5 linked regions of the Sus scrofa genome follow. The protein of the gene in region 1 binds, or shares a complex with, the protein of each later gene. Links are inferred from orthologs where the notes say so. Each region holds a gene or a part of one and is shown on either strand. Other genes may lie near its edges. The genes, in order: NEDD4L, SMAD3, YWHAG, SMAD7 and AMOT.

Evidence for each region.
Region 2: the proteins of NEDD4L (region 1) and SMAD3 are in contact, whole or in part, in an NMR structure (PDB 2LB2), measured with the Homo sapiens proteins. The link is inferred for Sus scrofa from reciprocal best matches to the Homo sapiens genes NEDD4L and SMAD3. Residues at the interface, in NP_001138439.1 of Homo sapiens: Glu392, Glu393, Arg394, Lys398, Gly399, Arg400, Tyr402, Val404, Asn405, His406, Arg409, Thr410, Thr411, Trp413; in NP_005893.1 of Homo sapiens: Glu178, Thr179, Pro180, Pro181, Pro182, Gly183, Tyr184, Leu185, Ser186, Glu187, Asp188.
Region 3: the proteins of NEDD4L (region 1) and YWHAG are in contact, whole or in part, in a crystal structure (PDB 6ZC9), measured with the Homo sapiens proteins. The link is inferred for Sus scrofa from reciprocal best matches to the Homo sapiens genes NEDD4L and YWHAG. Residues at the interface, in NP_001138439.1 of Homo sapiens: Pro444, Arg445, Ser446, Leu447, Ser448, Ser449, Pro450; in NP_036611.2 of Homo sapiens: Lys50, Arg57, Arg61, Lys125, Arg132, Tyr133, Gly174, Leu177, Asn178, Val181, Tyr184, Glu185, Leu225, Asn229, Leu232, Trp233.
Region 4: the proteins of NEDD4L (region 1) and SMAD7 are in contact, whole or in part, in an NMR structure (PDB 2LTY), measured with the Homo sapiens proteins. The link is inferred for Sus scrofa from reciprocal best matches to the Homo sapiens genes NEDD4L and SMAD7. Residues at the interface, in NP_001138439.1 of Homo sapiens: Arg394, Asp396, Lys398, Arg400, Tyr402, Val404, Asn405, His406, Arg409, Thr410, Thr411, Thr412, Trp413; in NP_005895.1 of Homo sapiens: Glu203, Glu205, Ser206, Pro207, Pro208, Pro209, Tyr211, Ser212, Arg213, Tyr214, Pro215, Asp217.
Region 5: the proteins of NEDD4L (region 1) and AMOT are in contact, whole or in part, in a crystal structure (PDB 7LP3), measured with the Homo sapiens proteins. The link is inferred for Sus scrofa from reciprocal best matches to the Homo sapiens genes NEDD4L and AMOT. Residues at the interface, in NP_001138439.1 of Homo sapiens: Lys202, Asp204, Leu206, Arg208, Tyr210, Val212, Asn213, His214, Arg217, Thr218, Thr219, Gln220, Trp221; in NP_001106962.1 of Homo sapiens: His235, Arg236, Gly237, Pro238, Pro239, Pro240, Glu241, Tyr242, Pro243, Phe244, Met247.

Annotation. Positions count from the first base shown.
Region 1 is NC_010443.5:162,513,948-162,518,392, reverse strand, and holds the start of NEDD4L (E3 ubiquitin-protein ligase NEDD4-like), read left to right. Parts: upstream 1-1,573; 5' UTR 1,574-4,445. UniProt on the Homo sapiens protein: E3 ubiquitin-protein ligase that mediates the polyubiquitination of lysine and cysteine residues on target proteins and is thereby implicated in the regulation of various signaling pathways including autophagy, innate immunity or DNA repair.
Region 2 is NC_010443.5:165,109,915-165,113,560, reverse strand, and holds part of SMAD3 (mothers against decapentaplegic homolog 3), read right to left. Parts: intron 1,819-3,646; coding exon 1,606-1,818; intron 1-1,605. UniProt on the Homo sapiens protein: Receptor-regulated SMAD (R-SMAD) that is an intracellular signal transducer and transcriptional modulator activated by TGF-beta (transforming growth factor) and activin type 1 receptor kinases.
Region 3 is NC_010445.4:10,018,661-10,021,303, forward strand, and holds part of YWHAG (14-3-3 protein gamma), read left to right. Parts: intron 1-1,238; coding exon 1,239-1,895; 3' UTR 1,896-1,903; intron 1,904-2,643. UniProt on the Homo sapiens protein: Adapter protein implicated in the regulation of a large spectrum of both general and specialized signaling pathways. Binds to a large number of partners, usually by recognition of a phosphoserine or phosphothreonine motif.
Region 4 is NC_010443.5:98,539,510-98,543,955, reverse strand, and holds the start of SMAD7 (mothers against decapentaplegic homolog 7), read left to right. Parts: upstream 1-1,640; coding exon 1,641-2,253; intron 2,254-2,277; exon of another isoform or gene 2,278-2,815; coding exon of another isoform or gene 2,816-2,888; intron 2,889-2,894; exon of another isoform or gene 2,895-3,199; intron 3,200-3,593; coding exon 3,594-3,647; intron 3,648-4,446. UniProt on the Homo sapiens protein: Antagonist of signaling by TGF-beta (transforming growth factor) type 1 receptor superfamily members; has been shown to inhibit TGF-beta (Transforming growth factor) and activin signaling by associating with their receptors thus preventing SMAD2 access.
Region 5 is NC_010461.5:92,627,270-92,630,915, forward strand, and holds part of AMOT (angiomotin), read right to left. Parts: intron 3,588-3,646; 5' UTR 3,526-3,587; coding exon 2,654-3,525; intron 2,585-2,653; exon of another isoform or gene 1-2,584.

The sequences.
Region 1 (4,445 bases):
TCATTCCATTTTCCATTGTGAAGCAGCCTGGGCTTAGTGGACCTGGGACCCTTCTCTAGCCTTAGCACTTAGAACCATTCTGACCCTGGAGAAGCTACCTGAGGACTCACACTCCCCTCTGGCTCCTTATCTCCCACTAGAAGAGAAGAATCTTCACTTGATAGGCTTGTTTCTAGGATTTATGTGCATTAATAGAAATGACAACACTTCCCACAACATCTCACACATGTGGTTGGTCCTTAACGAAATGACACTTGAGTGTGAATGATGATTCCTGCTATTTCAGTGAAGTCTGGGTGAAGAGACAGAAAGAAGCAAAAAGACATCACCTAGAATTCCCGTTGTGGCTCAGCAGTAATGAACCCGACTGATATCCATGAGGACACGGGTTCAGTCCCTGGCCTTGCTCAGTGGGTTAAGAATCTGGCATTGCTGTGAGCTGTGGTGTAGGCTGGCAGATACAGCTCTGATTGGACCCCTAGCCTGGGAACTTCCATATGCTGCAGGTGCAGCCCGAAAAAGACAAACAAAAACAAAAGCAAAAACCAGACATGGCCTAGTGGCTCTGACACTGACCCCGCAGTTGCTGGAAACAGAACCATCTTTTATTTCCTTGTCTCTTTAATGGTCCGGAGAGTGGGCTTTGGAGACGAGCAGGCTAGACCTGATGGGGATCCTGGTTGCCCTGCATACCAGCTATGGGCTCTGGGGCAAGTTAGTTAACCCTTCTGGTCTCGGCTTCTCATTTGTAAAAATCGGGGTGACAATTATACATCATAGGGTTGCTTTGAGAATAAATGAGATGATGTATTTTTGATATTTAATAAGAAGATAGTGCCTAAAAAGGAAACATGCAATAGGAATGTTTTGTTTTGCTTTTTTTAACTATTTACATGCTTTTACTGTTTTATTCTTTTTTTTTTTTTATCATTGCTGTTATTTTTAGGCCTTAGAGGTTTCCTCGGACATAGACCTTTGTGAGGATGTAGCCTTGATCTACAGGCATGAGGATGCCTTTTTAGCGGAGACTTAGGAACTTTTAAAAATAAAAGTTTATCTAGAAAAATAAATTTAAAAGAAACTGTTTAGAAATATCCTTTCTCGCATTAGAAAAGTGACTTAAACCATTTTCTCCTTCTTATAGGCCTAAATATTAGGTGTAAAATAATATAGCGATCAATCATAGAAAACTTGATTTAGTATATAGAGGATTTTCATAAGAGCAGATTGCTTATATTGTACAACTGATTTGAGTGCATTAAAAAGCATTTTATTCTTTCAGTCTCTTTTTTCATTCGTTGAATTATTTCTGCTCATTTTAAAAGTATTATCTGGGAGTTCCCTGGTGGCTCAGTGAGTTAAGGATCCAGCATTGTCACTGCTGTGGCTCAGGTCCAGTCCCTGGCCCCAGAACTTCCACATGCCTCAGAATAAATCAATAGTAACAATTATTATTTTTGTCCCTTACAGGTAAACCCATCTAATCACAGACTCTTGTTTGAAGTATTTGATGAAAATAGATTGGTAAGTGGTTCCTGATTTTTAATTTTTGCTTCATTTTTTAAAAATTGAATTTTCAGCACATCTTTAAAAAGTCTATATGTGTTTTATTTCTCACAGCATACATGTCCCTCAAAAAGACTATTTTTGTCCCATTACTAGTTTAATGTTCGTAATTCAAACAAATATTTTTGTGTGGGTAGGACAAAATTTATTTGTACCTGTGTAAGTTTTTAATCATAGTTAATATTCATGACCATCACACTGGTGGTATATCAAGCCATATATGCTTATACTCCTCTGTTGGGGATACAAAGAGGTGGGCAAATCTCATTACTCATGGAAATAAACCTTTCAGGATTTTTATATGTAAGCCAGACTTTGAGACTGTGACACGTTCAATAGTGAATCTCTTTGGGATGACAGAAATCTAATTAACAGTATATAGCAAAAAGTGAATCTATATTTAGCAGGTAAAATTAAGCTGTATTTTAAAAGCGGTGCTTTCTCAAGGGAAATTCAAAGAAAGTACCTTCAAAGAACCAGAGGTATGCCTAAGGCATAAAACTAGTACTAATATGTTGTATAGATTATAGGTTAAAAATACTTATATATGGTTGCCTGCATGAGGCAAATTCAAGTTTTGCTTTTTGGAACTTTCTGGAATTTTTTTTCTAGATATTTTTGATTTGCAGTTGGTTGAAACCGTGAATACAGAACCTGCAGATGTGGGGGGGGGAGTCCAACCATGTATTAATTGCTTAAAGGAAATGTTATTATGAATCCTTCCTTCTGCAGAAGTCACCTGAAACTCCAAGTTTTTGAATAGCTTGAGTTTAATAGAATATTTGATCTGGAGGAGGCTTATAATACAACTCATTTAATTCCCTGTCCTTGCATGTGAGAGAACTGAGATCTAGAGCCTTGATGTAATTACATACCTGCCCGTCTATTAAGTCTCAGGCCATTGGTGGTGAATAGCCAGGCCTTAACCCTTAGTATTGAACCTAGGAGTATATTTGATCTCCTATGCCTGGAATTATTCTCCAAATTAGAAAGCAACAGATGCTGGCCTACCATCCTGATATATTTTCTATTCAAATATACGGATTCTCGGCGGCTTTGCATTGAACTTGACATTTTATACCTTGGGTGATGCTTAGTAGTACTGAATAGCTAAATCAGTTTTGCCCGGTGCACGAAGTTATTTTGCTGTTAAATCAAATGAGAAATTCTGCTTGAGGGTGTAGTTCTTGGTGCTCCATCTCCTGTCCAGAAACACCGATTGGGCAGAGTTCAGCAGAGTCCCAGAGTCCACAGATGGAGCCACAGATTAATCCTTACTCTCTCTTTTATTGTGTCTTACAACATTTCTTCAAGGTGAAGAAATGGTCAGCTTTGTGGAAAAAACTGTCTCTTGTCAGATGTGTTTTAACTCATTTAACTCTTCTATTGAAAGAAATTCTCTGTAAAAAATGTTTCCCATTTCCCTTATCTAAAAGAATCACTGTTGTTGAGAGGACCTTGCCATGAGCCTAAAACTTATACTTCCAAGCCGAATAGGGCTTTGAATGCAGAGCTCTAAGAAATCTCATGTGAAACTTTATCTGAAAAACTGTTTTATGTACCTAGCTTTGCCCCAGGCTGTCTGCATCCTTGTTACTATGCGTGAATGCTGCTGCTGGTGGTTTTTTCTTTGTTGGCTATTAATCCAGCAGAGACACTACGTGACTATAGTGGTACTTGGCAGTTTTCACATTAAACAAACTAGCTTCCATTTCTCTCATAGAGATCATTTTTGGCATTTAAAACACATGCCTTTAGAAAACAGGTTTGGATGTATATAAACACAAGGTTAATCCTCCACACTCTGGACTCCAGAGCTGTTGACAAAGTCAACATATATTAAAATAAACTTTTTGTCACTTTTTGCAGCTTGGTATTCCCACATCCCTTCCCTTCTTACTTCCTCCGAAATAAGCCTCTTTGTTAATAACTCGTGTTTCAGGACAATGAAAAAGAGTATGTTTAAAACACTCAGAATATATCCAAGTTAGCTACAAATCCGATGACAGCTTTTTGAACGTGGACTTTCACTTTTATTACTTAGGTCTTTTTTGACCCTTCACAAAAATGTCAAGATTCTATGTTTCCCAACTGGGCTGATATTGCTGGCTTCTTACTGGAAAACAGTCAGCCAGCTCCAGTCAGCCTTTTTTTCCTGCATGGTATTGAAATTAACTTATTACAGAAACCACATGCATACCCTTTAATTTTCCTTCTCCTTTTTTTTGGGGCGGGGGTATTGTTTTCTCTCCTATCTGGCATATGGGAGAGAATGTTTTCTCCAGCTGGGTTCTTTTTCTCTGGTCACTAACATGTCCGAGAATCCTATTATGTGTGAGATGGTGTGCCGCCAGCACCTCCCTCCCCCATCGTTTAAATGAAAAACGTCGTAACCAGAGGCAGACCACTGCTGGGGAGTGTTGTAAGCGGTGCCCCTTTCCACTTAGCTATTTTGTTACTTGTAGGTCATGGTCTAATTATTTAGCATTAAATGGCGGGGTGTGTAATCGTATTTATAGTACGTTTTATTAGTTTGCATTCCATCATGGTAGTGTGGTGATATCATAAATAACAGGGCAACATAACATCCGATTGCTGGAGAAAGGGTTTTCCTGCAGCCCCGGCATTTTTACTCAACAACGTTTGGTTTCGTGGGAAAGGTGGTGGGGTAGGTGGGGGAATACTATGGGCGCTTTTCTGTGTTAGGAGCCGGGTCTCTCTCCTGCATTGGTTGGAGAGTCCCGGGGCCCTGCTTGGTTCAGAAAGAAGTGTCCTGTGAGCGCCAATGCGGTTAGATTTATAGCAGCATGGCTCGGAGTGTGTTTGCTGCCTTAGTCAGCTGTGAGAGCTCCCTGCTGGGGCCACTCCTGTCTGATGGA
Region 2 (3,646 bases), about 2.6 Mb from region 1:
CGTTATGTCAGTCAAGAGTAGGAGGCAGAGGAGTTCCCGTCGTGGCTCAGCGGAAACGAATCTGACTGGTATCCATGACGCAGGTTCCATCACTGGCCTCGCTCAGTGAGCTAAGGATCTGGTGTTGCCGTGAGCTGTGGTGTAGGTCAGATGCGGCTCACATCTGGCATGGCTGTGGTGACAGGCCAGTGGCTACAGCTCTGATTTGACTCCTAGCCTGGGAACTTCCATATGCCATGGGTGCGCCCCCTCCCAAAAAAATGATCAGGAGGCAGAGGCACAGGTGGAAAGACCCAGACCCAAAGGACAAAAACATTTGTTCTCGTTTTGATAATTTCTGACATATTTTAAATAGAGAAAAGTGTAAAGTGAGTGAGTAAACACCTGTGTATGCCATCTAGGATCTTTTAAAAAGTAAAACAAATGGGGAGGCTGTCTGGGAAGGATGAAGGCTCAGCAGCAGGGACTCTTTGCCACTGACTGTGTCACACTTGCTGTGTGGCCTCTGCCCTTCCCTGCCTGTCCGTCAGGGTCTTCCCTGGAACATGAGCACCCTGGCCCAGGCCTGTGGCTTCCAAACTTGTCTTAACTGTAAAATCCTCTCTCCGAATGAATCATCTCTGAAGGCCCAAGATATAATACAAACAAGAGCAGGGCTGCTCTGGGTCATGTGGCCCACTGCCCTACCTGGCTCCCGAGTTTGCCCTGGAGCCCCTTTGGCCACCCTGGGCACATGGAGCAATGTTTCAGAATACCAACCATCTCCATACCATCCCCATGGCTCTTGTAGGTGACTCTGGATCACAACATTGGGAATACTCTTAGCATGATTTTATGAGCAAATAAAGCAACACAGCAAGGCTTCAATCTTCCCTAAACTAAGTGGGCTTTACCGCACGCTGGGTGCTGGAAGACAGAGTGGCAGCAGCAGTGGTACCCAGCAGTGGGCAATACTTGCCTCTCTACCTCTTCTAAGTTCCTAGGATAATCCTGTGTGAAATGAACAAACCAAAGATCATCTTTCCAGGACTATCTACTTACCCACTTATCAGTACTTTAAGGGTATTTCTTTTTTTTTTTTTTTTTGGTCTTTTTAAGGCTGCACCCTCTGCATCCCAGGCTAGGGGGCTCGAATCAGAGCTGTAACCACTGGCCTATGCCACAGTCACAGCCACGCCAGATCCGAGCTGCGTCTGCAACCTACACCATAGCTCACGGCAACTCCAGATCCTTAATCCACTGAGTGAGGCCAGGGATTGAACCTGAGTCCTCAAGGATCCTAGTCGGGTTTGTTAACCACTGAACCACAACGGGTACTCCCCCTTAAGGGTATTTTTATTAAGGAGAATTACACAGTTGCCTTTTTCCAGAAAGTCCAGCATCTTCCCTTGTGGCTTTCAAAGTTTCAAAGATGATATCTGTCTCTGGGTGAGAATGATCAAGCAACCTGAACTCTACCTGTCTGGCCCCTGAATAAGGTGACAGAGAGCTTTTGGGGGAGGGGTGGAGGTGGGGGAGGCCCAGCACAGTGGTGGCGGATTCTGGAGGGGTCTGTGCTGGGCTGGGGATCTGGGGTGTCGTGGGGGAAACTCGACCGCCCCTCACCGATGTGCCTCCGTGTCAGCTCCACAGCCGCATTCCTGTTGACATTGGAGAGCAGCCCCAGGCAGAAGCGCTCCGAGTTGGAGGGGTCGGTGAAGCCGTCCACGGTCATGGACGGTTGCGAGGCGTGGAATGTCTCCCCGACGCGCTGGTTGAGCTCGTAGTAGGAGATGGAGCACCAGAAGGCCGGCTCGCAGTAGGTGACGGGCTGCAGGTCTGAGGAGACAGGCCAGCCCCTGGGTCAGTGGCGCCCCAGGCCCCGTGCCCCTGGACGGGGTCTGCCGGCTGCTCTGGAAGACTGTTCCCCACCTCTCAGAGGGCATTATAATCTCCCCACCCTCGTACCTTTTACTGGATAAAACCTGCAGGAGCAGCCAGCGGGACAAAATACTCAGGTGGCAGGAGAAGCACTTTTCATTTAGCTTTAGCTTCCAAAGGCCCTGCCCCGCCTGGCCTGGCCTCAGGTTGAAGCCGTCTTCAGGGAGGTGCTAGGCCAAGCCCCTGGACAGACACACTGGACAGGCTGGGTGTGCCTATCGCGGGCAGGCCACGCCACCTGCCTCTCTTCCTAGGTCCCCGAGGTAACCCATGCTGATCTCCGCCCCTCCAAAGCTAACTCCTGTCGAGCAGCAGCATCCAAGCCTGTGAAACGATAAGGCTGCTGCAGCCCTGGGGTCTGCGCTGCGCTTGGTGTCCAAGACCACACAGGCGCCAGGCACCATCTGCAGAGTAAACCCGGTTCCTGCCTCTTGTTATAGAAACTATCCTCCAAGTGTATCCAGATGTTGAGCAACCAGGAGGCTAACACACAAACTCACCTAAAAGAAACTCTGAACTTCTAGAGGTCATCCTGTGGTCTCAGTCAAGGGCACCTCAGAGTAACTGCCGTCCTGGGAGGGGGCAGTTCTGTTTCTCAGAAGAGGTGGGAACTCCTGAAGTAGAGGTTTCCCCTCACACGAAGCCACACCTCCCTTTCCAGGGACGCCCTAGCCTTCCTGTCACCTCCAGTTGTTCTGGGCTCCACACCTGCCCAGGTACCCCTGCCTGTCTCTGTGTCACTTCTCACCTCAGGGTCCCTCCTCGTCATTCTTCACTTGCACTAGTGCCACGGCCCTCTGACAGGGCTCCCCAGCACCCAGCCCAGCCCTTCCAGCTTCTTCTCTGCCCTGTCCTGCTCCCGGGGCCACGTCCTTCCCCTGTGCCTCCTCGAATCCCCCTATTTGTTGGTGAATCAGAGTCTGCTGCTCTCATTCTGGTCTTAGCCCTCTGGCCTGCACCACGTACTCTGGCTCTTACATATACATAGAGAGTTGCGTATATGGTTACTCAGGCGTGTCTCTGGAAGCTGGTGAGAGGATGGGAGAGCTCGCCATGCCAAGTCAGCACTGGCCCGAGACCCGTGTCACCGCCGGCCAGGCAACTTCCTAGAGCGAGAACCCATGAGAACTTAAGCTCAGCTCACCAGACCTCACAAAGTGTATAAAAGCCCAGGAAAGAATAAAGCAGAAGCTATTCCAGGAGGGGCCTGGGTTCCCCTGCAGGGCAAAATGGCCCTGATCTCCTTCTGGGGTCTACGCCCATGATCCCATCTAAGAGCAAAGAGAAGGCTGGCTCACAGGGGAAGGGCTGCGGACCGGTGACACCCCTGCACTCAACATGCTGTGAAGAGTTGGCTGGAGGGTGAGGGCACTTGGATCAGGTCTCGGCCTTGGCAAATTTGGGGCACGATAATTCTTTCCTTGGGTGGGGGGATCCTGCGTGCTCTGGGATGTGCAACAGCAGCATCCTAAGCCTCTGCCTACTTGATGCCAGCAACATACATCCATCTCACCCTCCCAGCTGTGACTGTAAGAAACTTCTCCAGACACTGAGAGACGTCTTCTGGGGGCAAAATAGGCCGCAGTTGAAAATCACTGTCCTGGGTGTTTGACCAGCTCAGGGAGCACAAGCTTCAAGGCTGGACAGACTTGTGTTCACATTCGGCTTTGGCACGGACCTGCTGCATGCTGGTGAGCAAGCCAGCCAAACTGAGCTTTGGTGTCCG
Region 3 (2,643 bases), on another chromosome or scaffold:
GGTAGTCATAAAAATACGGAATATTGGTGTATGTTGCTTAATTTTCCTCAAAGCTCTTAGTCATTGGGACTTCCCTTGCCGCACAGCGGATTGCATACCTGGCATTGTCATGGCAGTGGCTCAGGTCTCTGCTGTGGTGAGAGTTTGATTCCTGGCTTGGGAACTTCCACATGTTGCAAGCATGGCCAAGAAAAATAAATAAGTACAATGGAAAGAAGCATTCATATCTGTATGAATGGGTCACTTTGCTGTACAGCAGAAATTGACAGAACATTATAAATCAACTATAACAGAAAAAAATAAAAAGGGAAAAAAAAGAAGCATTCATTCCTATTGGTCTCCTCAACTCAGAAGTGCTTTTTTTGCTCACCTCTCCATCTTTTTGCTAATTGTATTCAAGTATTTATTCTCTGAGTTGCAAATATCTCAGTAATTATAGAGTCAATCCCATGCCCCCAATTTTTACTTTCTTTCTGAGGTTTGTAATTTATATTATCCTTTTTGCTTTTTCGGCCACCCAGTGGCACATGGAATTCTCAGGCCAGGGATCAAATCTGAGCTGCAGTTGTGACCTACGCTGCAGCTGCGGGAGGTGGGATCCTTTAACCCACTGTGCCAGGCCCGGGGATTGAGCCTGCATCTGCATCCTGGTGCTGCAGACACGGCACTGACCCCACTGCACCACAGCAGGAACTCTAGTTTATACTAACGTAAGAACAGAAAAGTTTCTTTGTTTCTCAAAAGTCAACTTTGAAGTTGACTCGATATATTCTCACCCAGCATGCAAGATACTCTCATCCAGAGGGCTGGGACTGAAATTTGGCAGGTCAAGCTTAGAAGCTGTTATTCCATTTTCTTTAAAAAACTGATGCTGTATGGAAGCCATCTCTAGTTAAAGTCCTGAGGATTGGTATCTATGTAATGTTGCATGAGAGCTGTTGACCTTTTGTAATGTAGATCGAGATTTGGTTTGTCATCTTACGGGAGAGCTACGTGACACGTGTGTGTGTCCTTTTCTAGGAAGGAAGCAGGAGTTGAGGCACCAGTGATCCAGCTGCAGTTTTTTTTCCTTGGTTGTTGCTCGTCCCACCTCCGTCCCCCTTCCATAGAGCTGCACGGCCTAACTTCTCTGACTGTTAATGACCTTAGCAGCTGATGTTTTAGCGGCATAAAGAAGTGATTAATCCAGCTGACATCATCTGTACCGTAACAACTCTGTCTTCTTTCCTCCTTAATAGGTGACAGAGCTGAATGAGCCACTGTCCAATGAAGAAAGAAACCTTCTCTCTGTGGCTTACAAGAATGTAGTCGGGGCGCGCCGTTCTTCCTGGAGGGTCATTAGTAGCATTGAGCAGAAGACCTCTGCAGATGGCAATGAGAAGAAGATAGAGATGGTCCGTGCTTACCGTGAAAAAATAGAGAAGGAGTTGGAGGCCGTATGTCAGGATGTGCTGAGCCTGCTGGATAACTACCTGATCAAGAATTGCAGCGAGACCCAGTATGAGAGCAAAGTGTTCTACCTGAAGATGAAAGGGGACTATTACCGCTACCTGGCCGAAGTAGCCACTGGAGAGAAGAGGGCGACCGTCGTGGAGTCGTCTGAGAAGGCCTATAGCGAAGCCCATGAGATCAGCAAGGAGCACATGCAGCCCACTCACCCCATTAGATTAGGCCTGGCCCTTAACTACTCCGTTTTCTACTATGAGATCCAGAACGCCCCGGAGCAAGCCTGCCACTTGGCCAAGACCGCTTTCGATGACGCCATCGCCGAGCTTGACACCCTCAACGAGGACTCCTACAAGGACTCCACGCTCATCATGCAGCTCCTCCGCGACAACCTCACGCTCTGGACAAGCGATCAGCAAGACGACGACGGTGGAGAAGGCAACAATTAAGGCCCCAGGTGGACTGGCAGCGCACGCTGATGCTACTACTGCAGTCTTTATTTTTTCCCATGAGTTGGGGGTCGGGTGGGGGAGGGAAAGGGAGGGATGACCTTCCTAGGGAGAAACCCACGACCTGTCCTGTCTTTGATCGCCTCTTTGACATTTTTGCCAAAATACCACTAGTGGAAAGTCAGGCTAGCTGTGCTGGTATTGGAATAGCAGCCTCACACTGGCTTATGGACTGTTCTGTAGATTAATGCAAGTGGAGCTGTCTTTAATTTAACTTATTGCTAGAACATAGGGTTTAAAGATGAATTGAAAACTTAAATGGAATGGCCCTCATTCAATAAGTTCTGTGGTTCCAGTAAGGATTTTTATGTACATATGCTCTTGTCTTAAGTTTTGGGTACTTTCTGTCTCATCTGTTTTAGCTGTGCATTTTTTTTTCAGGGTGTACTCTACCAGACATGGAATAGTTTAAATCCCAAGCTGATAGACTTAGAACATAAGGTATATTTATCCTTATGGGTTAGGCGTTGCCAGTTTTCAGAAGTTCCTGATTGGTTGACAGTATTAACACTAAATTGCAGTTTACAGTATTTCTACATTACAGCCATATGTAACATCAAGCCATTGATTGTGTATTTTTCTTTACTGTGGCTTGTACGTCCTTATTCAGCCTTATCCAGGTTGGTTTTGCTGTTCTCTCTCTCCTAGGCCGGAAGGCTTGCCTGAGGAGAATCAGAGCTACTTTAGG
Region 4 (4,446 bases), about 64 Mb from region 1:
AGGGGGAGGGAAGGGGGCGGGGGCGGGAGGCCTTGCGGGAGGCGGCGAGCCCAGGGCACACTCGCTCGCCTGCTCGGCGCACGGAGGATCCTGTCCCCGAACCGCGCCAGGCGAGCCAGCCGGGCGCCGTGCTCTGTCCGCTCGCCGCGCGGGAGAGAGCTGCCCGAGACAGAGCCAGCCCGCCGGCGCCGAGCTGCCGAGCGCCTGGCCCAGGAGTCCCTGGTGCGGCGCGGCGAGCCCCCGGCGGCGGCAGAAGGACTCGAGCGCCAGGAGAGGGCGGACGGGGGACAAGGAGGCTCCCGGGCGCGACGAGGAGAGTCTCGGAGGAGAAGGCGGCGTGAGGGACACCGGGGCCTCCAGCCGACGCAGCCTTGTCGGGGCGAGCAGCCCATAAGGGGAGCCCCGGCTCCCAGGGGAGGGGACACCGGCGGCCCCCGCGCTAGCGAGCGGAGGGCGAGAGCGCGCGACCCGCCAGGGGCCCGCCGCGGCCGCCGCGCCGCCCTCCCCCGCGCTGTCAGCCCCGCGGGGCGCAGCCGCCGCCGCAGCATCTTCTGCCCCTGCGCCCCCGCCAGCCCCGAGGAAGTCCCCGCCGAGGACTAGGGCCCCCGGGAGCTCAGGAGGAAAGACCAGAGACTCCTCCAAATCACCCAGATGCGAAGGATTGAAACAGCCTAGCCAAAGCTTTCTGTGGATTAAAAAAATACACGGCTTTTTTTTTTTTTCCCCCGAAGAAAAGGAGAGGAAGACCAGTGGGGCTCTGCAAGGAAAAAGGGGAATGTAACTCGTGGATACCTTTTTTCCACCCCTCAGACGTCTTGTTCTACTTTGTAAACATTTTCTTTTTTTAAACCCCAGCTCCAGCCAGACGCCCCCAGACCTCCGGGGTGCGAGGAGGTGGTGGTTTTCATTTTGGGCTTTGCGTATTTGGTTCTTAGATTTTGAGAGAACCTCCTTATTTCGCCAAACATCTCCTGCGGGGTGAAGTCCACTCGGCCCCCTCCCCCGAGTCTTCGTGTGCACGGAATTCAAGGAGATCCGGTTACTAAGGATATAGAAGAAAAAAATAAATCGCGTGCCTGCCTTTTTTTTTTTTTTTTTAATTGCCTCCTTCTCCCCACCCCCAAATTAAGTTGCTTAGGAAGGGGAAAAGAGGCTTTTTCCTCCCTCCGGCAGCCCAGCCGAACGCCTTTCTTTTTTTGCCCCCGCGGATCTTCCATGTAGGAAGCCAAGGCTGGCGAGCCCGACACTCGGGAGCCGCTGCGGGGGGGCCTCTTTTTGGGGAGGCGCCGACCGGGGTAGGCTTCGCCGCCCCCAGGGAAGCGGCGGCCGCGTTCCTCCGGGGTGCGCCGGGGCCCGAGAGCAGCGCGCGGCTCGGGCCGCGCGGGGTGGGGCAGCCGGAGCGCAGGCCCCCGAGCCCCGGCGGGCGCCTCCGGGCCCCCGCGCGCCCCCCGGCCTCCGGGAGACTGGCGCATGCCACGGAGCGCCCCTCGGGCCGCCGCCGCTCCTGCCCGGGCCCCTGCTGCTGCTGCTGTCGCCTGCGCCTGCTGCCCCAACTCGGCGCCCGACTTCTTCATGGTGTGCGGAGGTCATGTTCGCTCCTTAGCCGGCAAACGACTTTTCTCCTCGCCTCCTCGCCCCGCATGTTCAGGACCAAACGATCTGCGCTCGTCCGGCGTCTCTGGAGGAGCCGTGCGCCCGGCGGCGAGGACGAGGAGGAGGGCGCGTGGGGAGGCGGTGGAGGAGGCGAGCTGCGGGGAGAAGGGGCGACGGACGGCCGGGCACATGGGGCCGGTGGCGGCGGCGCAGGCAGGGCTGGCTGCTGCCTGGGCAAGGCGGTGCGAGGTGCCAAAGGTCACCACCATCCCCACCCCCCAGCCGCGGGCGCCGGCGTGGCCGGGGGCGCCGAGGCGGATCTGAAGGCGCTCACGCACTCGGTGCTTAAGAAACTGAAGGAACGGCAGCTGGAGCTGCTGCTCCAGGCCGTGGAGTCCCGCGGCGGTACGCGCACGGCGTGCCTCTTGCTGCCCGGCCGCCTGGACTGCAGGCTGGGCCTGGGGGCGCCTGCCGGCTCACAGCCCGCGCAGCCGCCCTCGTCCTACTCGCTCCCCCTCCTGCTGTGCAAAGTGTTCAGGTGGCCGGATCTCAGGCATTCCTCGGAAGTCAAGAGGCTGTGTTGCTGTGAATCTTACGGGAAGATCAACCCCGAGCTGGTGTGCTGCAACCCCCATCACCTTAGCCGACTCTGCGAACTAGGTAAGAAGTTGTTCTGCGCCCACCCACCTCTCCCCTTGGCGCTCAAGTAGTGAAAGAAAAGCCCCCTTCGGCTGTGTGTTTGTGCAGCTGTCTCGCCAGAGGGGAGAGTACATCCCCTCCTGGGAGAAGACTAGAGGGACAAAGGTAGAGAAGGGACTGGGGGGAACCTGGAAAGGCATTCCCTGGGGGTTCCCTTACAGTTTTTTTCTCCTCCTCTGTTTCCCCTAGCGGGGTTTTGGGCACTGCTCATGCACACACTCTACAGACCGGGGGTTAAAAATTAGATAGATTTCTCATTTCCGGATCAACCAAGGGGTGCAGAGAGAAGTGTGTGGGGGGGAGGAGGGGGGGTCACGCCTCCCCTGCACCCGGAAAGGCGTTGAGGTGTGTGGCCGAGTTGGATTCGGTCCAAGCCCGCCAAGGAAGGCTGGGAGAAGCAGTTGTAAAGACTGGAACGTCTCTGCCTGCTCCTTTAGTAAATAAGGAGAGTCCTGTCGGGCACAAGTGGCTGGGAAAGTGCCCTGTCCGGAGTAGCTTTGTGTTTTGGGGCGAAGAGAGTTTGATGGGCGGCGGCGCTGGATATCTGCTCTCAACTCTGCCAGCCCAGGGTGGAAGAGGACAAGCAGTCAGGAGAAGTTGGGTGCCCTCTGCTTTTTCCTTTCTTCCTGCACAGGAAAGCACAGTTCCTGACTGCAGAAGGGTCGGGCCCCAGCCCTCCCTGACGACACGGCCCCTTAACAGCTCTGGGGCCTGGGCTTCTCAGCTGAGATCCCAGCCTCCTGCATTGCTTTCCTTTTCTCTGCATATTTGTGTGGGGCGGGGGTGCACCCGGGGCGTTCACAAATCCAAGTTCACCAGCGGACTTGGGGTAAACCTCGCGGGTGGGCTGGGAGAGGGGAGCCCCGAGTTCCCCCGCGCGGTGTGGAGAGGAGCTGCGGTGGCCAAGGTGAATTTGCACCCCTGGGGGACGAGTCAGGGTGGGGGGGCGGCGGCGGGAGTCGGATCTGAAGTTCTGGGACCGAGCGGGGGCTTGGTCGCCCCCCGCCCTGTGAACTGTGAAGTGCCCGGCCCCGGTAGAGCCGGTGGTTTCCAGCCGGGCCGGCCGAGCGCGGCGGCGGCGGCCGCAGACGTGGAGGAGCGGAGCGCCGAGGCTGGCGCCAGGCGGCCTCTTTTGTTTATCTGACAGCTAAATATCAAGGCAATCACCGCCTCGCGGCCCTGCCTCCAACCCCCACAGCTAAGACAAACAGTTGGGCTAAAAGAATGCCTCTGTTATCATAAGTTTCTATCTCTCTTTCTCATGGCTCGGCCTTTATTTTCTCTTTCTTTTTTAATTCCAGAGTCTCCCCCTCCTCCTTACTCCAGATACCCGATGGATTTTCTCAAACCAACTGGTGAGTAGAGGGTTTTAAATATATCCTTCCTATCTTAGGTTAGAAATGGAGTCTCTAGAACTCGGATTTTTTATGTCTAGGCAGCGGCTTGGGGAGACCCTGGGCTTGCCCCAAGGTGGTTATAGGTTTCCTCTGTGGGAAGTTTGGTGGATTTTTTTCTGTTTTTGTTGTGACTGAACCTGGAGATAATATGTGTGTGTATAGATACAATATTATGCATGTATGTGTTTTTCTTTTTTTTTTTTTCAAAGATGTTTCCTAGATATGCATTACATTTTGTTCCTTTTTTCATGTATTTGCACTCCACAACCCAAGTTGGCTCAGCTTTTAAACACGTGGAATTTGATCCTTGCAGAAGTGTCTTGGGAGCCAAAGAGGACAGGTTGATGGGAAACTTTGGAGACGTTATGAGTGCCAGAAGTATCAGTGGGAAGAATGGATAGCTTGGTGGGAGGGAAGACAGTTTAAAAAGGTACAGAGAGGTCTTTGGGGTAAGCGAATTTGAACCTTTAAGACGTAAAGACGACAGGCCCTTCCCTTCCTGGTTTTCTCAGAATTCTTGGTGGGGGCTCTGAAAGTTTTTAGCATAGTTCTGCCTGCCTGTTGCTTTGTCACCAGATGGCTTGGGGCCAGGGCAGAAGCCGCACTTGAGACTGGCACCAGCCCCGTTGCGGTTGTCTGCATTCAACTTCTGACTGGCAGTGCAGGGGCTCACAGTGCCAGGGGAGGCGGGGGGTCCTCAAAGCTGGGACTCAGGGGTGACCACTGGATGGTCCCCTGTATCTTAGAGCCCTATCTT
Region 5 (3,646 bases), on another chromosome or scaffold:
GCAGTTGATAAATATATAAACCCCGGATGCAGAAAAGGCTTGGCACTTAGAAAGACAGAGATTCAGAAAATGTTTGATTCTTCAGATGGCTCTGGCCTTATTTCCCATCTGGAGTTCTGGGCATTCAGGATATTTACTTTTTAAGTAGGGAGGAGGGCATAGGGAAGATGAAGTAATAAAAAAAGATTGTTTGTAACATTTTGTTCAATTGAACAGCAAATCTCTAGCATTTCACGGCACCTCCAAAGGCCAACAAAGGCTTTTTGAACGACAATTTGTTCAAAGAGCTTACTCTGCATCCTGATCTGCAATTTATGGATTAAGAACTAAGGATTTCGTCTTCTAATTGTTTAGTTCTGGCTACAGTTACCTGGAAAGGTACACACTGTCTAGCCAGTTGGTTAAAGGAAATAAAGGAGGAAAAATGGAGCCACCACCTAAAAGTGGTTCACTTCTGGAAAGCAATTCAACAACCTCCCTTCGCCAGTAATTTGTCAATAGGTGCCACACCCTCACCCCAGGCTCTACAAAAAATTTTATTGCCGGTTTGTCTGCTGCCAACCCAAAATTCACCAAGAGCATCTTCTGATTAGGATTGTTTTCAGTTTGATTATTCATTGAACGTACTCCTCTCCCACAGAAGAAAAAAAAAATCAACTCTGAGAGCAAACCTGTGTATTTAAGTGCCGCTCAAGAGAGGGTAATCAGCACGGCTCTGCTGCTTTTGGGGAGAGGAAGAGCAATCCACAGATAACCTAGGAGGGAGGAGAAAATACACATATCTTCCTGTCAAATATAGGCAGCTAAATTTCTCTGGTGGTTTAATGAGTATGGGAAGAAAAAAAAAATCCCTCTTTGGGCTCCTTAGTATTTATTTAGGCAGATCAAAGGGCTTTTCCAACTAGCTTCAAACACTGTGGGAGTCATTTCAGATCACAAACAATACTGGTGAATGAGTTCTGAAAATAGCTTTCCTGGGAGGGCGGGACATGGGCTGGGCGGGGCTTGGATCCTGTTCCATACCCCAGCCAACATACTCCCCTCCCATAAGGCCATAAGTGGGTACACCCTATCCACATACAGGAGGGAGCCCCAGAGACTCTTCTATGCTCATGAGAAGAGCAAAACCACCACCCCCCAGCTTCATTGACATTTTGCTGGCTTGGATGGGTTTCCACTAAGCTAAGCAGTCCAATGGACCAACACCCTGCCTGGGTCTTCCGTTTCAGTGGGCAGATGGGAATTGACTTCTTGCTCATTTAAACCGGAAGGGCCCTGTCCGTTACCCCATTTCCTGTTCCAAGCCACTTATCAGAAGTTAAGCTCCTGCCCTTTGAAAGCTGCACAGAGAAGGTTGAAAAAGGTTAGGAAATCAACTTGGGTTAAGGAAAAAAAATCCTAAACTGGTAAAGTTAGGGGTGGAGTCCAAAGTGAATTGCCTCTGGCTAAAAAAACCGGGAGGTGGGGAAAAAAAAAGAAATACCAGGAAATGCCAGGTGCATTCTCTTACCTTCACCCTACTCCACCCCCCTGACTGCCTTCTTTCTCTACTGAGTCACCCACTATACTACAAGCCAAGAGGCTCTTTCCGAAATGAGTGAGAAGGGAACAGGAGGCAAAAAGTCAGACATCAAGGAGATCCATCGGGGCTGTCAATGGAAAAAAGCCACCCATGATTAACCATGGTAATTAGGAATACCACACAGAACGGCCATCATTTTTGCCCAAGGTTGAAACGTCCCCTCTGTCCCATATGCTGAAATACTCCTGGTTGTAGACATGGCACTAGTCCTAACAATAAGAACAATGAACACAATCATGGAATCATAAGGTCTGGTTGATACGGCCATGAGTTAATGGGCCCCTGAATAATCCAGAAGCATATTTAGGGATTAATGAATATAAAAAAAGAGTCCTACTGAAGTTGATAGAAGTCATACAAATATTTTTTTCTTCTGCATTTTAGCTTCTGACCAAAACTTCTGTACGGTATGAGGCAAATTTAACTTAGGTGTTTAAAAGTATCACCAGCAACTAACACACTCTTGATGGAAGAAAGATGAAGCAGTCTAGACTTCATGACCTGCAAGGAAGTACAAGGCTAGTAACATTCTGAACCTGCACGTATGCAGTTCTCCCAACAATGATATCTGAATGTTTGTTTAGTGTCTGAGAGAATCACACTAATTCTGCAGGAAGATTTGTTCACAAAAATTCGTGAAGACAGTTTTGTGGAGGAGAAGAGATGAAAGGGATGGGATGTTCCAGACTAAAGTGCATTAAGATCATTTACTTCCTTTCAAAGAAGGCCTAAATAATGCACAAAAAGAGGAACACTGCCTCTTCCTTGAAGATCCTAGAAGACCAGACAGCAAAAAGCTGCTGAAATCAAGACTTGTGCTCCTGTCCTGCCACTAGGCAGCTGGGGCCACGCTCAACCTATAAAGTCAAAGGAATGTTAATACTGGACTAATAAGGACTGAGGAGGCTAGAGATTCAGGTTGGCAGGAAATTTATCAAGCTAGGGGCCAGCCATGCATCGCAGAGTTTATTACACCAAACACCTGCCCATTCCTTCCCTCCAGATTCCCAACACACAGCATAAGCTGGTTGGGGATGAGGTCAGGAAATGACAGAAAGGGAACTCTCTTACCTGGCTGCTCCATATTCAGGGGGATGCTGATACCTCATCAGTTGCCCCTCTGTTCTCCCTGGCTGGTTCAGACGATGCTCACTATAGAAGTGCCCTGGCTCTTGGGGCTTGCACACTACAGATTGGGGTGGCATGCCCTTGAAGGGATACTCTGGTGGGGGGCCTCGGTGTTCCATGCCCTTCAGGCTATGCTGGCTGGGAGGTGGCCCCTGGGCCTTGTAGAATTCACTGGAACTTGTGGGATTCTTGTAGAGGTCATTGGGTTGTGGTGGGGAGAGGGGAGCGCTGGTGACAGGTGGATGGGTCTTAACTCCACTGGTGGCCAGTGACATCTGCATGAGCCGTTCACTCAGGGAGCGAACGTGTCCCTGCTTAAGGTCTCGGAGTCCTTCATCCTGGTGCATCTTTCCAGGATTAAGTCGCTGAACTGATGGGCGGCCCTCAGTCCTCATCTTCTGGTTGGTCACTCCGGTGACGTAGAAGGCAGCTCCAACGCTGGCATGCTGCTGGCCCCGAAAGTACTGGGACTGGACCTTGGCTTCTTCATAGGTCGGGAGTTCTTCATTATTCTGCATTCGAGGGGAAAGCTGCTTCTCCATGATGATATTTTCTGACTGGATTTCCTGCCCCTGGGGTTCTTGTCGAGCAGCATGAGCCACGAGTTGTTGGTGGTGGTCTTGGGGGCTCAACACATCATTCTGAGGGCCTGGGTTCCCACTGCCACTGGGGAAAGGAGGTCCGTTCCCTGTGGCTTGCTGGTGTATGGCAAGCAAGTTGCGGTTTTCATTAGGATTGCCATAGCGAAGCTGCTCTTGTAGCAGACGCTGCAAAACCGTGGTTCCTCCACTTGGCTGTTCTTCAGAATTTCTCATCTCTATTGCTGGTGGTGCCTTGTGAAGAGAGAGAGAAATTGGGCACCTGGGCTGCCCTTGACCTGGGAAGGGGAAACAGGAAGCTTAACACCCAGTTGATGGATAAATCATTCCTCTAAAG